3 linked regions of the Notamacropus eugenii genome follow. The protein of the gene in region 2 purifies or fractionates together with the protein of the main gene of each other region. This does not show direct contact. Links are inferred from orthologs where the notes say so. Each region holds a gene or a part of one and is shown on either strand. Other genes may lie near its edges.

Region 1 (3,743 bases), about 57 Mb from region 2:
GAAAGAACCTGAAGTCATGATGTGGAGGAATTCAAAGGCCAAACAGAGGAGTTGTCCTCTGTCCTAGAGGCAACAGGGAGCCACAGAAGGGCATGGGAGTAAATACAAAAGGACACATTTGAGAAATGCTATGGAAGCAAAATCGCCAAGACTTGGCAACTGGTTGAATACGAGATATGAGACAACGAGCCCCACCTGGCTGATCGGAAGGACAGTGGGGTTTGTGCTAATCTGTTTCACCTCAGGAAGATGAAGCTGACTCCCAGATACAAAAGGGAGAGGCAGCATGGCCTAATGGCGAGAATACTCACCAGATACAGGAAAGGCAGGAGGAGGGAGAGGTCTAAGGAAAAAGTTAAGAAGTTATGTTTTGGACATGTCGAGATTGCAGTGGCTATAGCATGTCCTGGAGATGTCTAGCACGCGACTAATGAGACAGATCTAACAAATGTGAGAGCTGGATTTCATAGGATCATAGACTGAGAGCTAGGAAGAACCTTAGATAACATGGAATCTGATCCTTCCCTCCCCACCCTCCGCTTTTCAAAGAAAACTAAAACAGAGAGAGGTTCAGTGAATTGTCAAGGATCCTACAACTAACGTCTAAGGGAAGAAATGAACTCAGATCCACCTGACTCCAGGTACAGTGAGTGCCTATCCACTATGCCATGCTACCCTTCAATGTGAGATTGGGAAGTCAGCTGCAACCTCCTGAGGTGAAACAATATGTGTACAGATAAATACAAAAATGCCCATAAAATAAATACAAAATAATTTGGAGGAGGGAGTGATTACAACTAGGGGAAATCAGGAAAAGTCTTTTCTAAGAGGTAAGAGAGATGACAGTTGAACTATGGGAGCTGCTATCACCAAGGAAAAACATGCAGAGAAGTGAACCTCAGTCACAGCCCTAGAGAATGCTCAGAGTTATAGGTGAGCTATGATGCTTCTGCACTCAGACCCAGTCCTCCTGACTGGTGAGTGAGTAAGTGCAACCTAGTCCACGTTGTTTCTAGTAACAGGCAATCAGATACCATTCAGCCTTCCATCTTGCCATCTGCCTGTCACCTTGCACCCTTCTTTCTTCAACTTTCTACCTTTGGCACAGTATTCAAACCAAGAGTGCCGTTGCCTCTGAAAAGGACAGGTCAACTGACTGCCCTATGTACAACAACTCACATCCCTGTGAATCCTCAGACCAAAGCTCTCTTCCCTAGTTTCCATGTTCATTAACTCCCCCAATTAGAATGTAAGTCTCCTGAGAGCAGGCACTGTCTTATATTTGTATCTCCAACGTGGTCATCATCTCCAGGCTAAGTACTGGACTTCCTCTACCAGGCCCCCAACCTAGAGCCTCTTTCCAGTCCAGGAACTCCCACTTTGGAAGTAGCCCGGGTCAGGAAGCCTCTTCCTCTGATTGGATGGCTCCCAACAGAACTCCTACTTAAGAAGGACTGCCTAGGTCAACAGTCTCATTTCTCCCCAGACTGCCCTGTGACTTTCCAAGGCATCTCCCTTGTCAGAGTGGAAGCTCCTACTGCACAGGGCTTTCCTTTGCACCAGCATTTGTATTACCCGCCCTTGCGCACAGTGCCTGGAAGTCACAACTGCTCAATAACAAAGATGTGTCTGTTGACTAGACAATGTGGTATGTGCTAGTATGTCTGTAATGAGTGGTCATTCAGTTGTTTAAAGGATGCTGAGGAGAGGTGGAACAAAGAAGGGACACAAAACCCAGCGGAAGAGAGCGCTGCACTGTCAACTGAGAGTGTCTAGAAGAATGAGGGCTGGAGAAGGGGCAGATGGAGTCAGGGTCCTGCTTCCTGCCATCCAATCTTGACCTTCCACATATTCCCTCTCCTAGACCTGCCCCTCCATCTTTCTCCAACACAGAATTAGGGGCATTCCTTTTACTGATCCTTTCCCTGCAGCCCCCAATGGCCCCTCGCCTCCACACCCCCTCCCCTCCCCTGCAGACTCCCAAGTCCCTTGCTCTATACATCCCTCCCCTCCCCTGCAGCCCCCCATGGCCCCTCACCTCCACGTCCCCTTCCCTTCCATACAGCACCCCCAATGGCCCCTCGCCTCCACACCCCCTCCCCTCCCCTGCAGACTCCCAAGTCCCTTGCTCTATACATCCCTCCCCTCCCCTGCAGCCCCCCATGGCCCCTCACCTCCACGTCCCCTTCCCTTCCATACAGCACCCCCATGGCCCCTCACCTCCACACCCCCTCCCCTCCCCTGCAGACTCCCAAGTCCCTTGCTCTATACATCCCTCCCCTCCCCTGCAGCCCCCCATGGCCCCTCACCTCCACGTCCCCTTCCCTTCCATACAGCACCCCCATGGCCCCTCACCTCCACACCCCCTCCCCTCCCCTGCAGACTCCCAAGTCCCTTGCTCTATACATCCCTCCCCTCCCCTGCAGCCCCCCATGGCCCCTCACCTCCACGTCCCCTCCCCTCCCCTCCCCTCCCCTCCCCTGCAGCCCCCCATGGGCCCTCCCCTCCACGCCCCCTCCCCCCTTCCCAAGCCATCCTCCCCTCCCCTCGCTTCCCTCAGCCCCACAGCCCCCGCCCCTCCTCACTCCCCGTGTCATCGCCCACTCCCCACGCCCCGGTCCCGCCTCCACCTTCACAGCCCGAGCTCTATCCGGATCCCACGAGGCGCTCGCTCGGCCGGCCTCGGTCCCTCGCGGGTGGAGGGGCCAGGTCCACGAGCTCAGGTAACTGCTGGCCCTGCAGGGACAGGCGGAGCCGCCCACTGCGGCCCGGGGGTGGTGCAAAGGGGCCGGGCCCACTCTCGGGCGAGGCTGGGGAGCCTAGGCGGCTCGGGCCTGGGCAGTAACAGACGACGGGCGGGCGGGGTCAGAACCGGAAGAGGCGGGGCCATCCCGTGTCTGGCCCTGTCCTAATATGGAGACAGAACGGCGAGCTGGGCTGTACCTTCTTGCTGAGGGAGGGGGAGAGAGGCGGGGGGTGCAGGGGTGACAGGGAAGGACAGACACGGCAGAGCTCCCCTCATCGTGTCAGGCCCTGAAGAAGGGTTTCCAGCGTCGGAGAGAAGGGGTTCCTGCGAGCTTCAGGGGAAGAGGAGAACAGCTGTCGTTGTTTCGCTCCAGCTCCCCCTGCCCTTGGAGCAGCGGTGGTAGCGCCCAGGCCCGGCTCCCGGAAGAGACGGCGCCCCGGAGCCAGTGCACTCCTGCACTTCCGCTTTCCGGCCTAACCAGCCCCAGCAATGGTGAGAATTGGGGGGCGTCCGCTGAGGATCCTCGGGGGGGCAAGGGGAGGGAGGCCACGCTGCGCTGGGGAGGGAGCCGAGGCTTCCCAGGGGCTAAGGAGGATCAGGGGACGGTGGGGGAGCCGAGGCAGGTCCACTGGGGAGGAGCCTGAGTGGGCCCCTGGGGCTGGGAGAGCTGCTGGGGCAAAGGCGCGGAGGGCGGATGAGGGACTTGGCAGAAGGGCACAGAGAGGATGAGGGGGCGTCCCGGGGGGTGGGGAGTAGAGGATCGAGGGCACGGGGGAGGAAGGGGAGGATGAGGAGGGGGGAAGCAGGGGCTGGGGGGATGCAGGGATGGATGAGTAGAGGGGCAAATGCGCGGAGGGCGGATGATAGAGCGAGACCCGAAGACTGAGAGGGATGGAGGAGGAGCAGGGAGGGGCAGCAAGAGCAAAAAGTGAAGAAGGGGAAGTGGGCAGGGGTGGGGCATGAAAAAACAGGGTTCGGAGATGGGGCACCGAGATTT
Region 2 (3,743 bases):
AAAGGAAAAATATGGTATCCTACAACATAGCAAATAAGTCTTTAGGCCTCTAATCAGGCAAACAATTACATGGAGAAACATTTGCAGACAAGACAAATTAAAAGGGTCACTCAGTTTTTCAGCTGGTTAAAGAAAACCAGTCCCCATCATGCCTCATTTCACACAGTGAAACATGTTTTAAGAAAAGCACACACAATCCATTAAAGAGTCATTTTTAAACAGTCTCCTGAAATTACACACACAACCATGCCCACCCCTCAAAGTCTATTTCACACCAGTCATCCCACAAAGAATGCTGCTTTGGAGCATCTTTTACATTATTGTTTTACTATACACAAACACTTAAAAGGGGCCCTAAACTACAATATTCCCTAACATTCAGGTTGGTGTGTTGTCTATTGTTCCTGCTCCCAACCCCCACCCTTTTCCCAAGCCCAACCCATCAAAGCAGATAACTGTTGCAAAGAACTGGTAACAAAATGCTTTTCCCCACTTCCCCTTAACTTCAGAATATAATTTTTAATAATGAATTTTCACGGCAAATATTACCTGAACATTCAAGGAACTTTATAGTTTTAAAAGTAGACTGGCTTACAATGTTTTGTGCAGACACAAAATGAGTGTTTTTCCCAATCTTTAGCCTCTGAAAACTTGTTATTTTTTTTAAGTTAAACTTGTCAATTTACAGTTCATATGTTTCTATTGCTTTCATTTGGAGGACTGGGGTAAGGAAAGTTTCCTGGACACCTTTTTATGTCCCATCTGTTCTTACAGATATTTAAATAAACTTAAAAAAGATAAAAACCTACTTCAAAGTAATCACCAGAATATACTTAAGCAACAACTTAATATATTCCATTTCACATTATAATAGCCACCATTTTAAACAGATTTGAAAAGTCACACTGATAAATGACTGAACCCAAATTCTACAATTAGTAAAATATTAGATTTCATCCCTGCTGTCCTGAATAGCCAATGTTGCTACCTGCACTGCTGATGCATTCTTCACCTCAGTCACCAACGTCAGACTGAAATCTGCAAAATCACTTAGAGTAAGATAAAAAAAGAACAGTTTATTCAGAGGCAGATAAGGATAAACATTTTCTGATCTTGCTGCAAAACAGTTAATAAAATTCCAATTAACAAACGAACGGGATGTCTTTACAAGAATCTAATCTGGGGATACGAATTTGAAAATATGCTCAAAAACAATCTCTTACTTTCTTGCTAAGAAGATATTAAGTTATTTCTCTTTGTCAGGCATAAAGCGAGCTATTTCTAATCACAGTGTCTTCCTGCCCTTTCTAAGGTACTTTTTATTTAAGCTTGACCTGCTACTGTTCTTGCAGACACCCCACCCTCTACACTCTACTCCCGATTTTATATATTAAATGGGGGGTGGGGTAGGGGGAAAAGTGGGAGAGCAAGGGCAGACGCAGGCTTCCAGCATCTGGACCTATCCAAAACCCTGGACTAGGAAACGGTTTGCTTAAGTGCCTCAGTTGTAACTACATCTTAGTAATTCACCAGTCGTTGACACACAGTGAATTACAGATCCAGTTCTCTCTTTCAGTTTCCTTGTCCCAGGTGACCTCCCCACAGTCCATCACTGATGACACTGGACCCTGAGTTGAGTCAGGAAGGTGGCCGGCTCTCTGGGCAGGATCCTCTGCAGACCCCCAACCAGATGTGCCTAGAATCTCCTTCCTCTTTCTTTTTTTTTTTTTTTTTAAATACCCCACCCCCCTCCTTCCTCTTCCTCCTCCCTTGTACGCTTTCTTGCAGTAGTCTTATGCTGGGAAACCCTGAATCCCTCGAGTAGCAATCCAGAGCTCAGCCTAGGGGAGATCCTTCCTGCGCTGGTGCCTGCATCCAAGTGAATCACAAACCATGAGAAGTGGGGGACCCCCCCAAAAAATAAGTAAACGGTTTCTTCCCCCAGATCTGATACGCCCACTGAAACACACACTCACACACTCCTTCCTCACCCCCGCACAGGCCTCCCACTCCCAGCTCCAAGCGGCCAGGAAGGACAGGGGGGCATTGCGGGGAGCCACCGCCCCCTCCTCCCCTCCACACCCCCATCCATTTCATCTCTCCACCCCCCTTCCCAGGCCTGGGCCGTCCCGGCCCCGGGGAGGGGGGGTGCAGAGGATTAAGGTGCTTTTCCCCTCTCCCCTCCCTCCCTCCGTCCGTCCCACCCCACCGCCCCACACCCTCTTCCCCTTCCCCGCCCAGGAAGGGGATGCAAGCCCGTGCAGCCGTGGCCCCCCGCCCCGGGTGGGAAGGCAGCTCCCCTGCAGCCCGGGGGTCCCACCTTGCGCTTCCTGGTCTCGGGGGTCCCGCTCCACACGAAGCACTGGTAGATGACCCGCAGGTTCTGCCGCCAGTTCTCCACCTTAAAGCTGTTCACATGCGAGCAGCCGGCCGGACTCATGACAAACTCCACATCCAGGCACCCGCCGCCGGGGCCGCGCCGGGGCCGGGGCCGGGGCCAGGGGCGGCGGCGGCGGCAGCAGGGGGGGCACGGCTCCGGCGGCTCGGGCCGGGGCCGGGGCCGGGGGGTGGGACGCCGCCGCCGCCGCCGCCGCCGCTCCGCGCCGGGTCCTCCTCCTCAGGCTCCGGCTCAGCTCCGCGGCCCAAACCCTGCCTCCGCCGCCGCCGCCGCCGCCGCCGCCTCCTGGTCCGGCGGCGCCTCCTCCCGGGGCTCAGGCTGCTGCTGCGGGGGGCGGCGCGGGGGGCACATAGACCCGGGGGAGGGTCCCCCGCTCCCTCCCGGCCTGAGGCGAAAGCGGCTCGGAACAAAGCGCGGCGGCCGCGGCTGCGGAGGAGGAGGAGGTGGAGGAGGAGTGGAGGAGGAGGAGGGGGGCAGACAAAGATGGGGCTTTAACCGAGCGGCAGGCGAAGCGGCGGCGGCGGCGACGCCCCCGGGATTCCTCCGGCCGCCCGCTCGCTCGCTGCCCCGGCCCCCGAGGCTGAGCCCGGCCGAGGCTGAGGCTGAGGCGGCGGCGCCGCTGCTGCTGCTGCAGCTGCTGCTGCTGCCGCCGCCGCTGCTGCTGCTTCCACTGCCGCGGCTGCCACCCGGGTCCCGCTTCCTCTAATTCATTGAGGCCGGCGGGAGGGGAGGCTGGGGGAGGGGAGGGGAGGGGGGGATGGGGAGGGTCGGGGGCGGCCGGTGTTTATTTGCGCTCCCCCCGCCCGCGCTGTCTCTTTAAATCGCTCCGCCGCGCTCTCCGCTCCCGATCGCCGCCGCCCCCCCAACCACCCCCCGCTCCCCACCCCCCTTCTCTTCTTCTCCTCCTCCTTCTCCCCGCTCCCTCAAGCCCGACCAACCTAGCTCGCCAGACGCCCAAGGGGGGAGGGAAGGAGGGAAGGCAGAGAAGGAGGGAAAAGGGGCACCCCCCGAGTCCCGCCCCTGTGACGCCGCGACGGGCCTGTTTCTCCCGTCACTCCCGTCGGGGCAGCCAGCGGCTCTACCCATTGGTGAGGGCCGCCGTCCGTCCGGCGCGGCCCCGCCCTCTTTTCATTTCAAACTCAGGGCGCAGTCGCCAGTCTCTCTCCCCCCGCCCCCCGCAGGAGGCGTGTGCGGGCTGGGGATTGGCCGGCCGCGCCTCTCCGTCTGGGAGCTGAGCCCGCCCGCGGCAGGCTGGGTTGTGGGAGCAGCGCTGCTGTCATATCCGCTTCTGCCTTCGGCTTCTCTCAGTTACCCCAGTGATTTCCTGCGAGGGAGGGACGGGCTG
Region 3 (3,743 bases), on a different chromosome or scaffold from region 2:
TTTAGTTGGGGGGGGTGGTAGGAGGGATGGTGGGGAGAGACAAGGAAAGAATCAGGGTTCTTATCCCAATCCTCTCCCCTTGACCCAGCCCTGCAGAAGAAGCCAGAGGAGATTAATCGTCGTTCTGCAGACATGTGGAGCTTCGCAGTGCTGTTGTGGGAACTAGTGACAAGGGAGGTACCATTTGCTGACCTCTCCAACATGGAAATTGGCATGAAGGTCTGGAAGATGCAGGGGGGCATGTTAAGGGAGGAAGGGAGGGTAGAAGCAGATTTATGGGACAGAGAGAAGTCTTGAACCTAGGGATTCTTGCTGCTTGTAGGTTGCCCTGGAAGGCCTTCGACCCACCATTCCTCCAGGTATCTCCCCACATGTGTGTAAACTCATGAAGATCTGCATGAATGAGGACCCAGCCAAGAGGCCCAAGTTTGATATGATTGTGCCCATCCTGGAAAAGATGCAGGACAAATAGAGCCACATGGGGGAATGGGGTATACCTATACCCCATTCCCATCAGCAGGCCTCAGGGCCCCTCCCTCCCCTGGCAACGGTACAGCCACCTCAGCTCCCCCCCCCCCCCCCCAGCTTTAGGGGCTACCCTCCCTGCCCCATCTGCCAACCTTGGGGGGGGCGGGGGTAGGCTCAGCTTTGTTTCACATCACGCCAAGCCCCATTTCTGGGTGTCTTCCCAATGTGGGAGGAGCAGCCACCTGCCTCAGTCACAATAAAGGTTTATTACGAAAACAGGCTGGTGTGGGGGTGGGTGGGGAAGGAATGGGACAAATGTGTACACACCCACACACATCCCGGCCAGCCGGGGAAGAGGTGAGCTTAGGTGAAATAATGTGGCTTCTTGACATTAATGCCATACTCGCTGAGTGCAGGGGTCAGGTCTTCCATAGTCAGGGTATACTTTCGGTCCTTGGAAAGAAAGTTGAAAGAGCAGTAGTGTGAGCCAGGGACGTAGTCTTGATTCTTGTACTAACATGTTACATTCCCAAGGCAAATCACTTAACCAATTTGGATTCAGTTTCTATGCGCACAAAATGGGGATGATGATAATCCCTGTGGCTTTCACAGGGCTAAAGAAGCCTGCCAGCAGAAAGGTTCTGAAGTTCCACATTCCACCAAGAGCCCCAGGGGAGCACTGATCACATCACCAGCCTATTCCATCTACTCACTTTGCTTTTGCTCCTGGAGCTGCCTGAGGCAGTGCCCTTCATCTTGCAGTGTTGTAAAGCATCATTGGCAATGTCAGAGATGAACTTCTGGGCTGCCAGGGAGATGAGCCGGACACTGGGAAGGTAGAAGGAGTTGGCATGTGGGGATAAAACCAGCCCTCCCTCAAGTTGAAATCTGTACTTGGTGTACAAGAAGGAGCCAGAGATGCCCACTAGATAGATGCTGGGGACTGGATTTACTGTCCCAAATCACTTACATTCTAGGATCAGAGGCTTCAAAACCAGCACGGTTCAGGTAATAGCCAGTAACAGCATCTGGAATCTGAATGCAACAAATTTTTAATTGGTTATTAAGTACACACTGTATCAGGCACTATGCTAGGCACTTGGGATACAAAAAACGGTATCAAAAACAGTCCCCAACTTCAGAGTTTATGGTCTAATCAGTATAAGGGTGGGGGTGGGAATATGTGCATGCACACACATCTATAGATAGAAGGAGAGGGGAGGATTTAGTAAACGAAAAGCTTCATGTAGAAAGTGGCTTAAAAGAAACTAGAGCCTTTGGGAGAATTTATCATTTGCTGTAAACTAGGGTCCAACTGAGACACGTGGAAAAGACAAGTTTTTTGCTTTGCTCGTCAAAGATATTACAGCAGAGATGGAAAGAAGGATCTCATAGCTAAACAAAAATTAACGATGAGGAAATGGCAATAGGTTGGCCAGGAAAAGCTTGCAGGGAACTGAAAAAAAGTTAATTGGTAGAATGGTTATACATACTGTGGGTGTGTAGTCTTCCAGTTGCATAAGGAAGTCCACCAGAGGTGTACTAGACACAACAGGCTTGACTTCTCCATTGGCAGCACCAGGTAACACATACACCCCATTAGACATGGCACCTTCAGGGGGGGCAGTACCCCCAGCTGCAGACACTGGGACTGGCAAAGGACAGATAACAGGAATTTCAATGGAGCCTGAGAATGGGGGGGGGAATGTTTGTCGAGGAAGCCGATGCTTAACTCCAAAGAAGTCCCTACTGCCCCCTAGTAGTGTGGACCTGCGGGCCTGGAGGTGCCTAACGCTCGGTCCGGTGGGCTCGCACTTCTCAGCTCCACCCCCTCCATCCCCTCGTTCCCCCAGCGCTTCGGAAGGCTCCCATCCCAGCCAGCCCAGCCCAGGACTTTCGGAGACTCAAGGGCAGGAAGCCTCGGTCGCTGTCCAAGGGATCCGCCAGCTTCTCCTTGAAGAGCCAGGGGCTGGGCGGCTTCGCTTTGGGCAGCACCACTTTTTCCGACGCTGATGCCTCCCACGTGAGAGCCCCAGCTCCCTCCAGCTCTCCTCACCCCATCCGGGGCCTGGCTCGCTCCCCCCGCGCTCCCCGCTCACCCGAGGCCCGGCGGTCGGATGTATCCCCCCGGCCGGGGCCGGGGCCTGCGCCTCCCGCGGGGCTGGCCTTGCTCTCGGCTAGGGCGGGCGCCGGCGCCGGGGCTGGGGTCGGGGCCGGAGCGGGGGTGGGGATGGGAGTCGGGGCCGGGCCCGACGGGGCAGGGGCAGGGGCTGGGACCACCTCGGGGTCCGCGCCACTGCCACTCATGGCGCCGGGCAGGAGGCGGGGAGCGGGGATGGAAGTGGAGACCGAGGACTAGGACAGAAGCGCTTCCGCTTCCGTTTCCGTTCACGGGCTTTCCTCTCCCCTCAGGCGACTTCCGCCTACTTCCGGCCCAAGCCGCACCCTCCCATCTCGCCGGCGCAACTGCGACGCCGAGTCCAATGGCCTGTCTTGGATTCCCCCCGGTTCCCGCTTAGCGCTCCTCTTTCGCCCCGCCCCCTGGGCCATAGAGAGGCGCGAGGCTAGAGGGTCTGCAGAACAGCTGCGTTGCCGTGGAAACCGCCCTTTGGCCTTGAGATGACTGTGAACTTCCCTCTGGGCCTCGGGTGAGGGCCCGGTTTAGGCCCCGCCTTAACCCTGAGTGCTTGCAGGCCACTGCGAGGCCCCAGTGCATCTGTTTGCTGCGCCCACGTGCACAAAAGCCTTAATTTTTAAACTGTGCACTTTGTGCTTTAACGGATTATATCCCAACTTTTTTTTTTTTTGGCAGGTTTACGTCTCCTTTGTAAAGTTTTGCATCCAGCTCATTTCCATATTACGTTACTTTTAGCCTCTTATGGGCAGCTAGGCGGCACAGTGGATGGAACTCTGGGCTTGGAATAAGGAAGTTCTCTTCCTGAGTCAAATCTGGCCTCACTTACCAGCTATGTGACCCTGGGCAAGTCACTTCACCTGATTTGCCTCAGTTTCCTCATCTGTAAATGACAAACCACTCCATTTATCTCTGCCAAGAAAACCCCAAATGGGGTTGTGAACAGTGGGACACAACCGACGAGCAACGATAATGTGTAAAACACTGCTCCGTCCCTTACGATGCTACTTTTAAAATGCTGTAAAATTGTGAGTCGTTGTAGGCTGATGACGTGTCACAGATGTAGAGCCTTTGTTTTTTAACCCTACTGCTTTTGTCACATAATATCAAATATTATAATTATATTTGTATTATTGCATTA

The links.
Region 1: the proteins of USP22 (region 2) and TADA3 purify together in Homo sapiens (affinity purification with mass spectrometry; 5 studies listed by BioGRID and IntAct, with this or other methods). This does not show direct contact. The link is inferred for Notamacropus eugenii from reciprocal best matches to the Homo sapiens genes USP22 and TADA3.
Region 3: the proteins of USP22 (region 2) and TAF10 purify together in Homo sapiens (affinity purification with mass spectrometry; 4 studies listed by BioGRID, with this or other methods). This does not show direct contact. The link is inferred for Notamacropus eugenii from reciprocal best matches to the Homo sapiens genes USP22 and TAF10.

The regions. Positions count from the first base shown.
Region 1 is NC_092874.1:435,652,539-435,656,281, reverse strand, and holds the start of TADA3 (transcriptional adapter 3), read right to left. Parts: upstream 2,770-3,743; 5' UTR 2,631-2,769; exon of another isoform or gene 2,629-2,630; intron 1-2,628. Other genes in the region: ARPC4 (actin-related protein 2/3 complex subunit 4), read left to right, coding at 3,236-3,238. UniProt on the Homo sapiens protein: Functions as a component of the PCAF complex. The PCAF complex is capable of efficiently acetylating histones in a nucleosomal context. The PCAF complex could be considered as the human version of the yeast SAGA complex.
Region 2 is NC_092874.1:378,784,723-378,788,465, forward strand, and holds the start of USP22 (ubiquitin carboxyl-terminal hydrolase 22), read right to left. Parts: upstream 2,517-3,743; 5' UTR 2,441-2,516; coding exon 2,321-2,440; intron 1-2,320. UniProt on the Homo sapiens protein: Deubiquitinase that plays a role in several cellular processes including transcriptional regulation, cell cycle progression or innate immunity.
Region 3 is NC_092876.1:88,821,259-88,825,001, reverse strand, and holds the start of TAF10 (transcription initiation factor TFIID subunit 10), read right to left. Parts: upstream 2,883-3,743; 5' UTR 2,776-2,882; coding exon 2,568-2,775; intron 2,120-2,567; coding exon 1,962-2,119; intron 1,504-1,961; coding exon 1,439-1,503; intron 1,297-1,438; coding exon 1,182-1,296; intron 922-1,181; coding exon 832-921; 3' UTR 796-831; exon of another isoform or gene 473-795; coding exon of another isoform or gene 323-472; intron 220-322; coding exon of another isoform or gene 89-219; intron 1-88. Other genes in the region: scaffold protein ILK, read left to right, coding at 89-219, 323-472. UniProt on the Homo sapiens protein: The TFIID basal transcription factor complex plays a major role in the initiation of RNA polymerase II (Pol II)-dependent transcription.